4 linked regions of the Caenorhabditis elegans genome follow. The protein of the gene in region 1 purifies or fractionates together with the protein of each later gene. This does not show direct contact. Each region holds a gene or a part of one and is shown in the gene's direction. Other genes may lie near its edges. The genes, in order: smg-6, Y48A6B.3, garr-1 and rsp-3.

Region 1 (5,652 bases):
CCTCCACAGCGAACCCCTTCCATTCCCACGGTCCTCTTCTTCTCCGCCAAAGGTCATACTCATCTTCCCATAGTCCGCAATTACACCCCCTCCCCCCTCGACGCACAATTGCGTACCCCACCCTCCTCTCAGCGTCTCCAGCCGTCATCCCTTTTCTCTGCCCAATTCATATCACACATTTTCTCTTTCTCTCTTCCCATTCACTCTTTTCTTTTCGTTCCCTGTTTTTTTGTTACAATGCACGTGTGTGTTTATACTGCTCTCTGAGGGAGAAAAAATCAGTAAATATATCATTTCTGTGAGGTCCGTTTTTTTTTAGTCCAAATAGGCTGTAGTAGGCTGAAAAAGCTTACTTTAATTACTATATTAATCGAAAAAGAACGTAAATTGACAACATTTATTGCTCAAATTTGAAAAATTGCTGCATTTTTGAGCATTGTAATTAATTACAACACACATATATATATATAATTTTAAAAAATGACGAAATTTAATTTTTGAGCAAAAAGAATTGTCAAATTTCGTTTTAGTAGTACTTTTGTACTTTTGTTTAAAATCCCAATTAGAAACGTTACTTTGAAAACTACCATATTCTTGAATTTTTTATTTCAAATTTCGGTTATAAACGCTATTTAATTCCCAATTTCCAATGAGCCTCTACTAGAGTCTTCCCCAATTAGAAATCGATACCGAAAATTCCATTGTTACCCCCCATGTACTTTCCCATGTCTCTATTTGATGGGTGGCTAATCAAACAATTACCCCTTCCCTCCCCCCACCCCGCCGACGTGTATGTTCTGTTTAGCTTAACAGAAGGTACCCGCTCCACCAGTGATAAGAATTGTTTCACTGTGTTGTATGTGTTTGCATTTCGGAACAGGAAAACGTTTGGTGGTGGGGGGACATAAAAGTTACATAAAACTTTTTTTTTGTTACTTTGCGAAAATCGAAATAAAAGTAGCGATCTTGTGATATCGGAGAAATTTAGGGTTTACTAGTATTCTTGGGAGGGAAAATCTCAAAAAATCCGAATTTCCAGACCCAAAAGGCCCTTAATTTATATAAAGTATGGTTTTCAGAACTTAATAGCTTGGTTTTAACTATTCATATTAGTTTCAGCCTAAAAATATGACATTTTTTAAAGTTTTAACCAAAAAGTTTCTCGTCGAACCTATGAGTTTTCCCACGTGGTGTGGTAGGTTGTAACGGTGTGATCTACAAAAATGCGGGAATTTTTTTCCCCAAAAAATGTGATGTCAGCACAGTGTTAACCATGCGAAATCAGTTGAGAAGTCTGCGGCTAAATTCGCGCATTTTTTGTAGATCTACGTAGATCAAACCGATATGGGGCATTCTGACATCACACCAATTTTCAGCTTTTTCCTGGATTTCTAGGTACAAAATTGAAGTTTTCAACGCTTTTTTGGAGATTCCCACGGATTTTTAGCTATTTTCAACGGCGGTTTTCGGTTTTCCAACACCCACAGCTTTAGAAAATGCAAAATCCCGTCTAAAATCTAGAGGAATGACGAATTTTTGCGAAAAAATCTGTTTATCCTCTGCTCATCCCCTCGTAAAGCCCGCTGTCAACACCTTTTCTTAATTAAATTTTTTTGCTCCAACTCCGTTCTCACGTGGTGCCAGGCTGTCCCATTACGGTTTGATCTACAAAAAAATGCGGTTTTTTTTGCCCAGAAAAATGTGAAACCATACAAAATCAGTTGAGAACTCTGCGCCTCTTCTCCCGCATTTTTTGTAGATCTACGTAGATCAAGCCGAAATGAGACACTTTGACACCGCGTGCTTTCTCTTCAATTATAGCTTTTTCTCCTGAACTTTTGCAGTTTTATAGCGTAGGTAGGCAGGCAGGTAGGCATGCCTGAATCTGTATTTTCCTTTTTTTGTATGTTACATGCTTCTCTTTTATGATATATCTCAAAATTCCAAATTTCCAGCTCACCAAGCAAAATGAACGGAGACACAGACGCCTCGTCATCTAGGACGGGAGCTCCACGAAAACCGCGCCCAGAAATTCAAATCTACCGTCCAGGAATGCTCCGCCAGGGAGGGAGCACGAAAAGCTTGAGCTCTACGAACGAAGAAGCACGACCACCACGCCCGGAGAAGTTGAACACAACAACGACGACGATGTCGGGCAATTCCAGACGAAGAAGCAACGATACGGACAGTGTGACGTCACGTGGTGGATCTGGAAGTACGACGCCCGATGCAAATGTGATTAATGCCATGAATGAGCGAGGTGGAGGAAGGAATCGATTTGAGAAAGGCTATCGACAACAACAGAGAACAGATGGGCCATCGAATTATGTAAGTTTTTATCTTATCGCTCAAAAACCAAAAGTTCTACCCTAACACTACAGAAAAAAACTGAAATTACCTAAAACCCTCAAAAAATTTTGGAAAAATTCATTATCTAGCACGGGGAAACGGTGTCAGAGTGCCTCATTTTGACGTGATCTTCGTGGATCTACAAAAAATGCGGGAGTTGAGACGCAGAGTTCTCAACTAATTTTGCATGGTTAAGAACGTGCTGGCGCCACATTTTTGGTAATAAAAATTCCCGTATTTTTCGTAGATCAAACCGTGATGGGACATCCTGACACCACCCTCAGCAAATTTTGAAAAACTAATATTTTAGCATGATAAAAGCCCCAAATTCAGCTGAAAATGTCTCAAAATACCTTAAAAGCACTAGAAAACGACTTGAATTAACGGAAAATCTTAAAATCTATGGCAAAACTGATATTTTTACGGGAAAAGCCAAAAATTTTCAGTAAATCTCTCGAAACCCAAAGTCTTCACTATGAAGTAGCTGAAATTGACTGAAAACCCTCAAAAATTGTTTAAAAACTCATTATTAGCACGAGAAAATACCTTAGTTGGCTGAAAATCCCCAAAAACGCCAAAAATCCAAATATTTAACTCTAAAGCCACTGTGGAACGGCTGAAGGTAACTCAAAATCCTCAAAATTTGAGAAATCACGTGGTATCAAGTTGCCCCATAACGGTTTGATCTACAAAAATGCGGGAATTTTTTGGCCAAAAAATGTGACGCCAGCACGTTCTTAACAATGCGAAATCAAATGAGAACTCTGCGTCTCTTTTCCCGCAATTTTTGTAGAACTACGTAGATCAAGCCAAAATTGGAGACTCTGACACCACGTGAGATCACGTATTTTGGCTCTGGAATTTAGCTGGAAAAGGTCTCAAATTCTCATGAAACCCGACTGAACCCAACTTCAAACTGGCTGAAAACTTATATTTTGTCTCGAAGACTCCAGGAAAAAAGCTAAGAATTGCTCAAGATTGAACTCAAATCCCCAGAACTAGACAAAAGTCTGAAATTGACTGAAAAGTTGCACACCCCTACAAATGTCCCAAATCCCACGAAAACCATTCCAATTCCAGAATTCCACACAATCCCTCTACGACACACGGCAACATGGTGGCTATATGGAGTACCAGGGCAACCACCGATCGAATCACCGGAATAATGGGAGATACAGTAACCAGCAGCATCAGCAGCATCGGCAACCGTTCGAACGACCCGGCGGAAATCATTATGTAGGTTATCAGGTTTTCTTAATGGAAGTGTCTGGGGGGGAGAAGGGGTGAATTAATTAGAATTAATGGGATGTGTGGGATGTGAAGTGATCAGTAAGGTATGATGGGAATATGGAAACTTTAGGAAAAAAGAAATTTTGGGGAAAAAGAGATAAATCGCTCAAATTCTAGTCTAAAACTGTAAAACTTAGTAGAAATTGTACCAAACAGCTGAGAAAAGCTTTAGAAATTAGCCCACTTCAAGAAAATTCACGTCTAGTACAGAAAGCTAGAGATTTTATCAATCTGGACAGTTTTCCATACAAATTCGAGGTTTTTACTGGTGAAAACTGTCAGAATTTGAGAAATTTGACAATCTGAACTTAGAATTACGTTTAATACCGCCTTAAGAAGGCATGATACCGTTTCGAATTGTAAAACTCTGAACAACCTTAGAAAATTGTCCGTTCTCGAAAAAAAACATAAATTTTTGCGGAAATCACCATTGAGTACGATAGTCAAGTACGCAAACACGACGCGCATTTACAAAATTGCGTATCAAATATTTTTTGAGCTAAAGCTTTTTTTGTTCAAACAACCAAACTTTTAAAGCTAAATCTTTTCAATTTCCAGACCCGCGGCTTCAACGAGCGAGCTTCCATGCGCGGGGACGGCGCCATCGCCCGACGTCCTCAAGGATCCCGTCGCCAACGCAACGATTCCATCAACTCTACCCAATCAGAAATGCCACCTCAAACCGGTGCTCAACTTCACATTGACACCTCATTCGACTCGGCATCTCAGTGTGGAGCCTCATCGAATTTCTCGATGAATTCCCTTGGCGAGGCGTTCAGTTTCGAGGAAATGTGCCAGAACCTGCAGAATTTCGCGTCGATGGATTGGAGTAAAGAGGTGGAAAATGAGTTTGCAATGCAGAAAGAGCAGGAGGAAGAGGAAGAGCGACGGATGGAGCAGAAGCTTCAAGAAGCTGCTGCTCAGGAAGCTCAGAAAGCGGCGTCTCCGAGGAGAAATAACCGAAGGAATAATCGAAGAGGTGGAGGCAACAGTCGGTACCATCCCGATGAATCCGACAGAGAAAGCTCGTTCGGTGGAAGTATCGCCGAGGAAAAAGAGGAAGAAGAAGCCGAGGAAGAGCTCAAAAGTGGTGAGAGAACTCCGACTTCTGTGCGAAGCGGCAACTCTTATAATCCACGTGTTCTGTACCAGAGAACACGTGGAGCCAACGACGAGAACCATCCGAAACGAAGAGACGCCGCCGTGGAGAAGAAGCCGAAAGAGCCGAGACGGTACCGCGGTGAGCATGACGATCGGGATGATGATGCTTCGGAGTATCATGGAACGCTGGAGAACCATATGTCGTCGGGACGTCTTGCTGGGAGAATTCAGATTGTGCAGCGCTCGCAGAATGGGACGGAAGCCGGGGGAAATCGTGAGTTTTTTTGGGAATTTTGGAAATTTTTCAGCCAGTTTCAGTGTAAAAAATAGAGGAATAATCACGGAAAAGCTGAAAAAATCGATAAAATTCTGCGTTTTATCAGTGGAACGCACTTGCATTGTCCTCTATTTTGAATGTCTTTTATTTATCGAAATAGTAGAATTTGGATAAAAATTCTGATTTTATCTACACAAGTGCGGTTTAGCACAAAAAATTGAATTTTTTTTAAATAAAAAGTGCAAACGCGCCCCACTGTGAAAAATCGATAATTTCAAGAAAAATTGAATTTTCTGCGATTTTTTCTGGAAATTTTTGAATTTTAAGCCTTGAATCCGGTTATTTTTTCTACTTCTTAACGAAAATTTCTGAAAAATCGGCAAATTTGTGATTTTTCATCTATTTTCGGAATAGTTTTTTGCGGGAAGTTGAGATTTTCGAATTTTTTTCCGACTTTTCGATCTTTCTTTGATTTCAAATCGGCTTATTTTAATATTCTTCTTCAAAAAGTGCTGAAAATTGACTGAAAACCGACTGAAACCCTTCTAGAACCCCTAAAAATGCAAGTGCGCCCCACCGCACCGCAACTTTTTGAGAGCGAAAATCGAATTTCGAACTGATTTTCTCCGTTTTTC
Region 2 (3,930 bases), 8.5 Mb from region 1:
AATCTATTTTTTGGTATGCCAATCTATTTTTTGGTATGCCAATCTATTTTTTGGTATGCCAATCTATTTTTTGGTATGTCAATCTATTTTTTGGTATGTCAATCTATTTTTTGGTATGTCAATCTATTTTTTGGTATGTCAATGTAAATGCTGTATTTTTCAAAAATTCAAAAGTACTATAAAATCATATGAAGCGCTTCTTTTTTATTTTATAAAACTGTTTAGCATTGCCAAATATACCAGAAAATACCAAAAAAAGTATACTAGCTTGTCCGCAAGTATTTTAAAAAATTGATAGAAATATATAAAAGCTGTATTTTTCAAAAATTCAAAAGTGCTGGAAAATCATATGGTTCTAAATTACCAGATTATCCCAAATTTCATAACAAGATTTTCAAGACAATGTTCAACTTTTATTCATAAATTAATTGCTTCAGTTTGAATTATCCAAACTTGGATGGTAGGTCGAATCCCATGATGATATGTCGGTCTGAGGCAGGTCGAATATGGTTAGCTCGAGGTTTTCCAACAACCGACAAGATGGAGAGTACAGCAAACACTAAAACGCAATAAATGTTCATTTGAAGAACCGAAGTGAGGAAAAGGTTTGTGATCGGAAGGCTTTTATTCCACCCACATCGATAAAGTTAGTTCCGGGAGCGGGAGCATCAAAGATGTATGCTTCGATGCTTAAAAACCTTGTGATCATTTGCACGGAAAATATAAGTTTGCAAATACACTCAAATCATACAACGCAAGTCGAATTGTTAATGTTAGGGGTTCCAAAACGCCTGCCTGCCTGACCTTAAGGCGGCCTCCGCCTGCCTCTCGTGAGGCCCTGAAACCGTGCCTGCCTACCTAGCCTCAACTACCTAACAGAAAACTGCTCAATATGTAGGAGCATTTTGGACTAGAAAAATAAATTTGAAATTTTTTAATTTTGTCTCGCACTTCTTTAGAGTCCCGTAGATTAACTCCAATTTGGGATTTTTTTTTTTCAAACTTTCTACTTCAAAGTCCCATTTTATTAGGTCATAGATTTTCCATCTAAGCCTAAGCCTAGGAATTAGCCTAGGCCTAAGCCTCAGTCTAAGCCTAAGCCTAAGCCCTAAAAACTGAAAGGCCTGCGGCGCGATTAACAAGATTATAAGCCCAAAAAACAGAGTTTGAATGTTCAATATTTATCAGTAATCAACAGAAACTGCACAAAAATTATTGTGGACGTGGTGCACCGATGATGACTCCGCTTCCGTATCCACTGCTTCCTCCGCACTTCTTTCCTCCTTGTGGCAAGAAGATTCCAGAAACTGAAGAAATAGCCAAGATGGCGAAGACGCAGACAGAGTAGACGTTCATGATGATGATGAAGAAGAAGAAGATGCTTCTGATGCTTGAATTCTGGAAGAAGTTGGCTTTTATAGTACCGTGTAGGGGGCGGGTGGGGGGTTCGGGGACATAAAATTGTTATATTTTAGTTGCGATTTTGATGATAACTCGTAAAAATTGAAGTTTGAGCGTTTCGGGGAAGCGGAGAGGCTGCAAAACTTGCAAAAATCGGAGTCAGGAACAGTTGAAAATTCAACAAAACGAATTTCCCTGAAAATCTCTAATTTGAATTCCCGCCAACGAATTGTCTGCGTCTCCACTCTCTGGGATGTGGGCGAACGCGCTCCACTGCACATTTCGATTCGATTTCTCTTTTTTCTCTTTTGACGCATTTTCACATAATTATTGTATTTTTCGAAGTTTTCTGCGGGTTTTCTCCGATTTTTTTCGATAAAATTAAATTTTAAAATTCGGAAATATAATATTTATCAATTTTAAGCCATGAAATATCGTAAAATTCCTATGTAATCACCCATAATAGGATTTTTATCGATTTTTTGTTGCAAAAATCCCATTTTCATTGTTTTTCTTTTCCTAAAGCTAATTGAACTTTGCGGCTAATTTACACGATTAACTTATGAATTTTCAGAATCAAAAAATGGGCAAGCGCAATCTGGACGAGACAATGAACGAGTCGACCGTATCAGAAGCCAATGGAGACGCCACCGCACCAACCACCGAGAAGGACGAGTACCAGGCACTTTGCGAGCTGGTAAATCATTAATTTCGCTGGTTTTTTAATGAAAAATGTCTTATTTTCAGGTAAACCCAATCGCTCAGCCACTAGCAAACCGCAAGTTGGCCAAGAAGGTGTACAAGCTCATCAAGAAGGCCTCCGCCGGCGATAAAACCCTCCGTGAGGGCATCAAGGACGTGCAGAAGGAGCTCCGCAGAAACGAGAAGGGAATCTGCATTCTTGCTGGTAGGATTTTAATCTATTTTTCCCTTAAAACGTTCAATTTTTCAGGAAACGTCTCTCCAATCGATGTGTACTCACATATTCCGGGAATCTGCGAGGAGAAGGAGATCCCATACGTCTACATTCCATCTCGTGAGCAGCTCGGACTCGCCGTCGGACATCGTCGCCCGTCGATTCTGATCTTCGTCAAGCCGAGTGGGGACTTCAAGGAGCTGTACGACGAGGTCGCCGAGGCTCTCCGTCATCTCACCGTCGAGGCCGCCTAAATTGTTTTTTCTCTGGTTTTCACTGTTTTTTTTTTGTTGTTGATTTTTTAAAATTTCTTGATCTGTATCACCATCTTTATCCACAATTGTTCACTCATTAAATTGTTGTTATCTACAGACTTTTTCTTTTTATTCTTTAATCCTTTCTCGGTAATTTCCAAAACTCAATTTTGTTACTCGAAATCAATCTAAATCACAGCAAATCCCGTTCTAAACCACTTTCAGCTCAGAAAATGCTCGCCGAAACGCTTGTGGCGCCCGGCGACAAGGTTCTCGACGCGATTGGTGAATATCGAATGGGGAAGGGATTATACGAGGCGAATCGAAGGATCTTCGCGTCGGTAGCCGGTTTTGTCAACGTTTATGGATTCAGAGATGTAATTTTCGCACAAATCGCAAGCGTGGAGCCCGAAAATTTCCGTTTTTTCTGCAGAAATCCGACAACCTGGTGCAAGTGATCGAAGTTCGCCGCAGCGAAGATCAGCTCGACAATGAGCTTCTCCCATTCCACGGAGCCATCGTCACCGCCAAAGTGATGGCTGTCGGATTACGGTAGAGCAGCTTTTCGTTGCTCTGAAAACCGACAGAAAATATTGCAGATTCGCCAAATGTGACATCATCAGTATCGGCGATAAGGTTTACAAGAAGCGGTTCTCGGCGCTGCTGCCGAAAAAGAAGCTGAGGCCGCTGGAACCTGAATTGGTTGGATTTTGCCTGGATTGTGGGTCTCGCCACGAAAAAATTAAGAATTTCTGCTTACAAATGTGGGAAAAACCTTTTTTTTAGCAGAAAATTAGGTTTTTTTGCGAAAATTCTTATGAAATTTCGCATAAAAATGGCCGATTTTAAGGTTTTTTGCAGAAAAGTCGTCAAAATTCCTGATTTCTTGTGGAAACATCGGAAAAACATTGATTTTAGACTGATTTTCACTAAATTTCAACTGAAATTCTCGGTTTTTTACTCAAAAAACAAATTTCCCTCTTTTTTCTTATTTTAAAGCGATTTTCGAGCAAAATTTTTTTTTAAACATTAGATATGGGCCGAAATCGTGGCGAGACCCAAACTGAGAACCCAAGTAGTGTATCGCACAGAAAAAGAGGCGGAGCTTAAATTCGCAACCCTGCGGCACGGGGTTTCCTTCCTTTTTCGCATGTTTTACACTGATTTTTGTTGATTTTTTTCAATGAAGTTTAGATTTTACTAACTAAGAAGTGAAATTTTAAAAAATCAATAAAAAATGCAGTAGAAAACTGGCAAAAAGGTGGAAAAACCGTGCCGGAGGGTTGCGAAATTACGCTCCGCCTCTTTTTCTGTGCGATACTGCTTTAGAGGCAAAAAATTGAAATAAAGAGCATTTTT
Region 3 (4,084 bases), on another chromosome or scaffold:
CTCTGCAAAACGGAGCCATTAATTCGAGACTCGGCGGATGATGATCAGTCATATCGAAGCAAATAACATTTCCATCGAAGTTATCCGCATCGTAGTAGTATCCACCGCGCAGGTTAAACACCTTCACGTTGCCCTTTCCGTGCCGCCTGGTCAGAAATTGTTGAGTTTGAACTTTTGAGTTACGGAAATTCGCTTCGATTCCTGTTGCTGGATAACCGATAGCTATGATTCGGTCTGTGATATCTGAAAGTTTTGAAAATTGAAATGCTTTGAACTCAAGAGAAGTGCCTTACATGCACAATCTAGGTCGATATTTTGGTACTCGGTGCGACAACGATTGGAAGATACAGCCGTCCGAAAAATATGGCGAATCCGCTCGACGATTGAATTGTGATACGGTTCAGACACACGTGGTTCACCAGGTTGTCGGTTTGGATTCTCTTGAAGGTCACGAGCCATCGACCTGGTCGATGTGCTTGGCACATCTGGAGGAGGAGTAACCATTGGGGGTTAGTAGATGTACCTGGAAACTGCAAATTCATGAAGAGGAACGAATTAGAAGAGAATTTCAGCGAATTTTATAATTTAAACATTGTCAGGTGAAGTGTGATAGAATAGAATGCCAAATGAGCGCAAAGGATTAAGGGATTAACTAGCTCATGCTAAAGCTCAGATTTGTTCACGCAGAGAGCTCAGACCCGAGAGATACGAGAGGAGCAGAAAGACAGACTACATTTCCTCGTTAAGAATGAGCTGAAAAAGAGCTAGAAATCCGTTGAAAATCGCCAATATGCGTATTTTCGACTTAAAAAAAACAAGACTGATTTATTAGAAAATAATACCCGCCAGCGCCAATAGTAGAAGATCATATGAAATCATTTGATCAAAAAAGCAAAATTTTGGTCTACTGATTTATGAGCATTTTCAACCAAGAAATAGGAAGATTTCGGATATTTTTATAACCTACGTGTGGAAAATGTTTATTTGTATTGAAAAATCAAGAAAAAATGAATAAAAATTGTCGAAAAAGCAGATAAACACCGAAAAAGATCGGTTTCGCGGCGAAAAAACAAAATCCAAAAAATGTCTCTTAAAGGCGCACGCTAATTCAAACGGCACGGGTCTCGCCACGAACGCCTCTCTTCTCACTGCATTTTTCTCTTCTCTTCGATTTTTTTTTCGATATTTTTTAACGTTTTCCAATAGTTTTTATTGATTTTCTTGTTTAAAAACTGGCAAAAAACGAAATAATCGTTATTTATAAGTTGTATTTAGAGTCTAAAGTTTGTATAGTGCGATGAAATTCTTCGAAATAGGCGAAAATCAATTTCTTGTGATTTTCTTAATTTTCTCATATTTAGAAAATTGAAATTTCTGTGAATATTATGTACAAGAAAACCCCTTTTTGTTTTGCAATACCAATTTTTTCTATTGAATTTCTCAACAAATATATTTTTATGTCCAGTTTGATTTTATTTTGCACTTGAATAACTTTAAAGTTCAAAAATTGTTTGACATTTCAGAAATGAGTTTCCGTGGTGGACGTGGAGGCGGTGGTGGATTTCGAGGTGGTCGTGGTGGCGGTGGAGGCGGTGGATTCCGTGGAGGTCGCGGCGGTGACAGAGGTGGTGGCTTCCGTGGAGGACGCGGTGGATTCGGAGGGGGCGGCCGTGGAGGTTACGATCAGGGACCACCAGAGGAAGTTGTGCTCGTCGGTGTCTTCTCCCATCAGTGCCAAGATGATATTGTTTGCAACAATACGAGTGGAAAAATCCCATATTTCAATGCTCCAATTTACTTCAAGAATAAGGAACAAGTCGGAAAAATCGACGAGATTTTTGGATCCCCCGGGGAGAACGTAAGTAATCTCTTAATTGAAAATTAATCATAAATTTATTCGCTGCAGGGATTCTCCGTCACATTGTCACAAGGAGTAAAAGCCTCTTCATTCGAACCAGAGTCTCAGCTGTACATTGATCCCGGAAAGCTTTTACCAGTTGATCGTTTCCTTCCACAAGCCGGCGGAGGGCGTGGAAGAGGTGGTCGCGGACGCGGTGGGGATCGTGGAGGACGTGGCAGTGACCGTGGAGGTCGTGGAGGCTTTGGAAGAGGCGGCGGCGGTGGATTCAGAGGCGGGGATCGCGGAGGTTTTGGCGGTGGTCGTGGAGGATTCCGAGGCGGAGACCGTGGAGGGTTCCGTGGTGGCCGTGGAGGAGACTTCGGAGGTCGCGGACGTGGAGACTTCAAACGATCATACGATGGTGGAAGTTTCGGAGGACAGAATAATAAGAGAACTAAATTCGAATAATTGTTTCTTCTCTAAAAAACTGTATGTTCCAATTGTTTTCATCCTTTTTTTTTACCAATTGTTGATTTTCTTTGTTTTCCTTTTCTCATCTGCCCTCATTTTTTGATCACTTTTTTGTTGAACTTGTTGGTATTTTATACACATTATAATAATCATATAATTTAGTTATTTTATTTCACTAATCACACAGCGCTCTGAGGCAAGCATTTTTGGCGAATAAAATTTGGAGTTCGCATTTAAGCGCGCTTTGATATATCGTTCTTATAACATTTTTTAATCGCCGCAACCAAGTTCCAGCCATTAATTTGACAGATTACACTGGAAAATTATATATTTAGCTTGAGAACAAAATCTAGAAAGTAGTAAAGTAGCAATTAGCAATTGAAATTTTGCAATACAGGTTAACTTTTGAAATTTGAAATTTTAACAGAATAGAGCTCTCAATCAAAACGGCTGAAGATAAAAATAATTCTGAGCGATTTTCATTGTTCTAATCTCAGCAGTGTACATACTGTACCACGCCACAAAAGGCGGGGCCTAAATATGAGGTTTTCTGCAGTACACGCCACGCAGTTTTCTTATTTTGAGTGTATTGCGCAACATACTTGACGCGCAAAATATCTCGTAGCCAAAACTACAGTAACTCTTAGAAGGACTACTGCAGTAGCTACTGTAGCTTTTGTGTCGATTTACGGGCTCAATTTATTATGGTGCGTCCATAGTCTGCGGAAAACGAAAATTTCCCGCGACCCGAGGCGTCCATAGTATGCGGAAAAATTGAGCGAGTTTCTCGCTTCGTTATTGGTCAATTTCAAAAGTGGCCGTGCCCAACCAATTAGAGGCTGTAAAATTTTGAGCTGAACAATGGGAAAGTGGAAAAACTGCAGGCCACGCCTACTTTTTTGAATTTTGAGGAAAACAATGCGTGGAAACTCCGTTTTTTCCCTGCACTATAGACGCCTCGGACCGCGGGAAATTCCCGTTTTCCTGAGACTATGGACGCACCATTAAATGATTTAAAAAATTAATTGATCTACTTGTTCGATAATCAATGATAAATCAGCCAGATACTGAATTTTTTCAGTAAAATGTTCTTTAAAACTTTTTGAAAGTAACAATTATTTCAGTATTTTATTATTTCTTCCAAATTCCATCTAAAAAATTTGAACAATCGCGGAATTTTGTCCCATTCGGTAAGTGTGCAAGCGCGCTCTAACGCACTCTTTGAAGTTTCATTCTCCAAAAATCCTTGCCCCAGAGCGCTGTGTAAAATCTTTAGTTTAGTTATTTGAAATCCTTCATTGGCCTTTGCATTTCACGAAAAGTTGATCCAACGTTGGACATTGGAATCCCTGCACAGCAATGAGGTCATAGAATCCACCAAGAGAGTCCTGAAGACCTCGAATAATGGCTCCGAAGGTGTCCGGTTGGAAGAGCGCTTGACAAAGGTCATCATTAAAAAGGGGGCATGCCTCACCAAGCGCTGCCTTTACGGTTGCCAACATTGGATTCTCAAGAATGTCTGAATGGATAATATTTGGATTTCCAGAGAATAACAAACGATCTTACTATAGTTTATATACTTGAGAACATCGTAAACCAAGAAGCATAATGTGCATTGAGTATTGCTAACATCTTCACTGATCACCATGGCTTTGAAGTTGCTAGAACATTTCTCAACTGCAGTGGAGATCGCATTCCAGGATTTTTCAAAATTTTCAGGCGTTTTCTGGATTTCCGAATGTAACGTGAAAATGATCTGTAAACGTTTAGTAT
Region 4 (4,307 bases), about 10 Mb from region 1:
TTTTTAAAAATATCCAACTACACCACTTTTAAATTGTTAGTAAAAAAAACTATTAGATCATTTAAATATAAATTTTTTAATCTCAAATTTTCGAATTAAAAAAAATAAAAATATAGAGACGCATTTTTTTAAATTAAAAATGAATTTTTGTTGCTCGAAAATGTCGAAAAAATAGTCCCAAAAACTTAAAAATCACACTATTTTTGAACTTTTAAATAAATTTACACTTTAAAAAATTCCGCAGCAACGCATTTTTTTTCTTCAATTTTTCCGATTTTTTTAATCAAAAAAAATTCTGATAATAAGCACACTAACATGGACATCAAGTACTTAATATCGCCAATCAAATCAGCTTCATCTCCATTCTGCCGTGCTCCATCACAAGCTCCCCTCACTGGTTCATCCAACAACCATAACATCAATCCAAGACAAGCTATTCCAATAATCGGAGAAAATCGAACACCCCATTGCCATGAATCTGTTGCCTGTGAAATACTTGACCCAGAAATGAATCCGAGACCACTTCCAACTGGAATTGCAAAATAGAACATCATCAGTACTCGACTTCTGAGGCCACCACTGAATAGGTCTGATAGGACGGTTGGAGCGATTGTGGAGTACGAGGCTTCTCCGATTCCAACAATTCCGCGGCACAGGAGAAACAGGTAGTAGTGCTAAAATTATTTAAAAATTAAAAAAAAATCAATTTTTTAGGGTAAAAAAACGCATTATTCACGAAAAATTGTCCCAAAAATCACCATTTTTTGCCCATTTTTCATTGAAAAAGTTTCTCAATTATCGCCTTTTGCATGTTTTTTTTTCCATTTTTTTCAGGTTTTTTAAAGCTAAAATTATGGCTCAGGGCCTGCGTGAAATCAAAGAGCATAAGGCGCAGATTGAGGCAGGCGAAGGTCACCTTGAGGTCAGGCAGGCAGGCGTTTCAACGCCTACCTGGAAGCCCTATCTTAAATGGCCGGAAATCAGTATTTTTTGGATTTTTCAAAAAAATTGAAAAAAAAACTCCATTTTTTCTGATTTTTGGACATTTTCCGCTTTTTTAAGAATATTTTTCACAAAAATCAATTTTTTGGAGAAAAAACGCATTATTCACTTGAGGGATTTTTCAAAAAAATTGCAAAAAAATTTTTTTTTTTTTTTTTAGTTTTTTCTCAGAATTTTGGACATTTTCCGCTTTTTTAAAGAATATTTTTCACAAAAATCCAAATTTGTGTTCTTTTTTTGGTGAAAAATGCATTAATTGCCCCAAAAAACTCAGATTTAAATTTTTTTTCTTCAAAATTTTGAAGCACTTTTTTTTTTGATATTCCAAAAAATATCTTAGAATTTTGGTAATTTTTCCGCTTTTTATAGGAATTTTTTTACAAAAATATTCTTTTTTTTCTCTTTTTATTCGATTTTCGCGGCAAAATATTCAGAATTTGTGTATTTCCAGTGAAAATTTGCCACAAAATAGCATTTTTCGCATGATTTTTGCAAAAATTGCCAAAAAAAGCGTTATAAACGTCATTTTTTATCTTCTCTCTTCTCGGTGTCATTATTCCATTATTGGATTGACCTCTAGAGCCTTCCCATCGGGCTCATTGACCTCCAGACCGCGATTTTCCCGCGTTTTTGGCTCCGCCTTTTGATCTACCACTGGAAGTGGGCTCAGACTGTCTTAGTAATTTATTCCAACATTATTTCCTTTCTATTATCGTTTTTTTCCCTTTTCCCTTACCCCTTCCCCACAAAAAGACGATGCAAAGACTGCTAAAATCCATATGCAAATTCCAGTGATCATTAGCATTTTTCGATTGTATCGATCACCCAAATATCCGAATAATGGCGCGAAAAACATGTAGAACACAATGAAAACTGTCTGAAATTATTCGGTTTTTAATTAATATTCCACAATTTTATTCAATTTTTACTTGCAAAAGGCCTTGCCCCTTATCGTCGATATCGAAAAATGTTGCAAGCCGCGACATAACTCCCACGATTGTGTATCGATCCATGTAGTTTAGCAGGTTTACGAGAAGCAGAATGGAACAAGTAACCCATTTCTTCTTTCCAGCAAGTCGGGAGGCTGAAAAAATCAAGTTTTTCGATTTAAATAATTAAATTTTCGATTAAAAACTCACCAACGTCCAAACCACTGCCTTCCTCAATTTCATTTGGCATTTAGAATTTCTGAAATTTATTATTTTTTCTTATTTTCTAATAAAAAACCGAAAACCACAAAAAATAAAAAAATACGTGACTAAAAATAACGCAGGCGCGCTCCACCGAACTCGTTCAAACTTGGCGGGAGAATGCTCATATGACGCGTTGCGGTCGCGTCGCGGTCGTTATTTTTTCGAAAACGAAGGCCGTGGCACACTCATTTCTTGTTTTTTCAGACAATTTTTATTATTTTTTCGAAGAAATGCTTGAGAATATTCATTTTTCTAAATTTTACTCGATTCTGGGTTTCTTTTCAGTCAAGTAAATGCAGTAATTTGAAGGATTTTAGGCCCAGTATTTTTTTTATTATCAATAATCTTCAGTCGCCGATTTTTTGCAAATAATCATAATTATTTCTTCATTTTCAGTGTACTAAACATGCCACGCGGCGGCTCAGAGGACCAAAAAGTCTACGTTGGCAACCTGCCAGGAGACGTCCGAGAGAAGGAAGTCGAGGACATTTTCCACAAGTATGGCCGCATCAAGTACGTCGATATCAAGTCAGGACGTGGACCGGCGTTCGCTTTCGTCGAGTTCGAAGATCACAGGTTCGTTTATTGATTTCAAATACTTTAATTAATCAATTTTATTCCAGAGATGCCGAGGATGCGGTTCGTGCTCGCGATGGCTACGAATTCGATGGCCGTCGCATTCGCGTCGAGTTCACTCGTGGAGTCGGACCACGTGGCCCAGGCGGTCGCCCACTCCAAGACGGAGGTGATCACCGCGGTGGAGACTTCCGAGGAGGACGTGGTGGTGGTCGTGGAGGTGGACCTCAGAGAAGAACCGGATACCGAGTGATCGTTGAAGGTCTTCCACCAACCGGGTCGTGGCAGGATCTTAAGGATCATATGCGTGATGCTGGAGACGTCTGCTATGCGGATGTGGCTCGAGATGGAACTGGAGTCGTCGAGTTTACTCGTTACGAGGATGTCAAGTACGCTGTTCGCAAGCTTGATGACACCAAGTTCAGATCACATGAGGTGAGTTTTTACTATTTTTGAAACTATAAAATAAATCAAAAATTGAATTAAATTTTTCTTTTTCAGGGTGAAACTGCCTACATTCGCGTTCGTGAGGACAACTCTTCTGGAGGCGGAAGCGGTGGTGGTGGCCGTGATCGTAGCCGTTCGCGCTCTCCAAGAGCCGAACGTCGTGCTTCGCCAAAGTACTCACCTCGTCGTTCTCGTTCCCGCTCTCGCAGCCGTTCCCGCTCTCGTTCTCGCTCGGCCAGTCGCAGTCCATCTCGCTCACCATCTCCACAATAAAGAGACAGCGTCTGATTCTTGAAACGGTATCGTTTTGCAATTTGAGTCGTCTGACAGAGAGTTCTGATACAACTATATCTTGCTAATTTCTTTTTTTTTGTGCTGTTTCTAATACAATTCCATGCCTCATGTTCTCCTGTTTACACACACCTTTTTCTTTTTATCGATCTTTTTGGATATATATATCCACAATTTCTTCTATTTTTTATCACCTATCCTTAATTCAAACAACCACATCCAAGTATTCATCAGCCCCACCTATTATTATTCAATAATTTCTTTTGTTGGAGGAACCACGAATAAAATGTTTTGTTTCAGCCTCCACTCCGCTTCATTCAAACTATTGGAGGAAAGGAGGAGGACTCTATAAGGAGGGAAACTAAAGGATCGCTGGACGATCAAAAGCGGGGACACACCATATCGATCGAGGATCGAATCGGTTTTTACACGATTTTCGAATCGACACACACACACACACACACACACTAGGACCCCCGGAAAAAGGATTTTATGGGAAAAGTTTTGGATTTGCCCCCTGGGTATTGTTAGGAACATAATTTAGTTAAATTTTGACCTGACGAGAGTAAAAAGAAGGAAAAATTTTACAGTTTTGGGTTCGAAAACCCCGAAATCTATTAGGAAAATCCCCTCGAATATGAGAAAAAACTAATCCGCCATGTTCAGGTGAGCCGGTGACCCGCTTCCCGGCTCACAAAAATGAATCAGCCAGGTGAGTTTCGACTTGGAATTTCGAATAAAAATTTTGAATTTTTGACTTGTGTTTTTACTTTTTTAAATTATTATTGAAAACAGAAA

Evidence for each region.
Region 2: the proteins of smg-6 (region 1) and Y48A6B.3 fractionate together in Caenorhabditis elegans (co-fractionation; one large-scale study listed by BioGRID). This does not show direct contact.
Region 3: the proteins of smg-6 (region 1) and garr-1 fractionate together in Caenorhabditis elegans (co-fractionation; one large-scale study listed by BioGRID). This does not show direct contact.
Region 4: the proteins of smg-6 (region 1) and rsp-3 fractionate together in Caenorhabditis elegans (co-fractionation; one large-scale study listed by BioGRID). This does not show direct contact.

What each region holds. Positions count from the first base shown.
Region 1 is NC_003281.10:2,471,913-2,477,564, forward strand, and holds the start of smg-6 (PIN domain-containing protein), read left to right. Parts: upstream 1-1,955; 5' UTR 1,956-1,968; coding exon 1,969-2,328; intron 2,329-3,429; coding exon 3,430-3,585; intron 3,586-4,197; coding exon 4,198-5,014; intron 5,015-5,652.
Region 2 is NC_003281.10:11,006,247-11,010,176, forward strand, and holds Y48A6B.3 (Putative H/ACA ribonucleoprotein complex subunit 2-like protein), read left to right. Parts: upstream 1-1,975; 5' UTR 1,976-1,984; coding exon 1,985-2,098; intron 2,099-2,148; coding exon 2,149-2,308; intron 2,309-2,353; coding exon 2,354-2,571; 3' UTR 2,572-2,683; downstream 2,684-3,930. Other genes in the region: fipr-17 (FIP (Fungus-Induced Protein) Related), read right to left, coding at 1,213-1,356; exos-1 (Exosome complex component CSL4 homolog), read left to right, coding at 2,805-2,948, 3,005-3,123, 3,171-3,273. UniProt on the Caenorhabditis elegans protein: Required for ribosome biogenesis. Part of a complex which catalyzes pseudouridylation of rRNA. This involves the isomerization of uridine such that the ribose is subsequently attached to C5, instead of the normal N1.
Region 3 is NC_003282.8:424,645-428,728, forward strand, and holds garr-1 (putative H/ACA ribonucleoprotein complex subunit 1-like protein), read left to right. Parts: upstream 1-1,523; 5' UTR 1,524-1,525; coding exon 1,526-1,858; intron 1,859-1,906; coding exon 1,907-2,308; 3' UTR 2,309-2,560; downstream 2,561-4,084. Other genes in the region: Phosphatidylinositol 3,4,5-trisphosphate 3-phosphatase and dual-specificity protein phosphatase daf-18, read right to left, coding at 1-243, 294-504; Y66H1A.5 (Saposin B-type domain-containing protein), read right to left, coding at 3,607-3,830, 3,878-4,067. UniProt on the Caenorhabditis elegans protein: Required for ribosome biogenesis. Part of a complex which catalyzes pseudouridylation of rRNA. This involves the isomerization of uridine such that the ribose is subsequently attached to C5, instead of the normal N1.
Region 4 is NC_003281.10:12,686,201-12,690,507, reverse strand, and holds rsp-3 (putative splicing factor, arginine/serine-rich 3), read left to right. Parts: upstream 1-2,591; 5' UTR 2,592-2,601; coding exon 2,602-2,771; intron 2,772-2,818; coding exon 2,819-3,206; intron 3,207-3,272; coding exon 3,273-3,491; 3' UTR 3,492-3,807; downstream 3,808-4,307. Other genes in the region: spin-4 (Major facilitator superfamily (MFS) profile domain-containing protein), read right to left, coding at 316-674, 1,739-1,879, 1,932-2,086, 2,142-2,181. UniProt on the Caenorhabditis elegans protein: Plays an essential role in embryogenesis.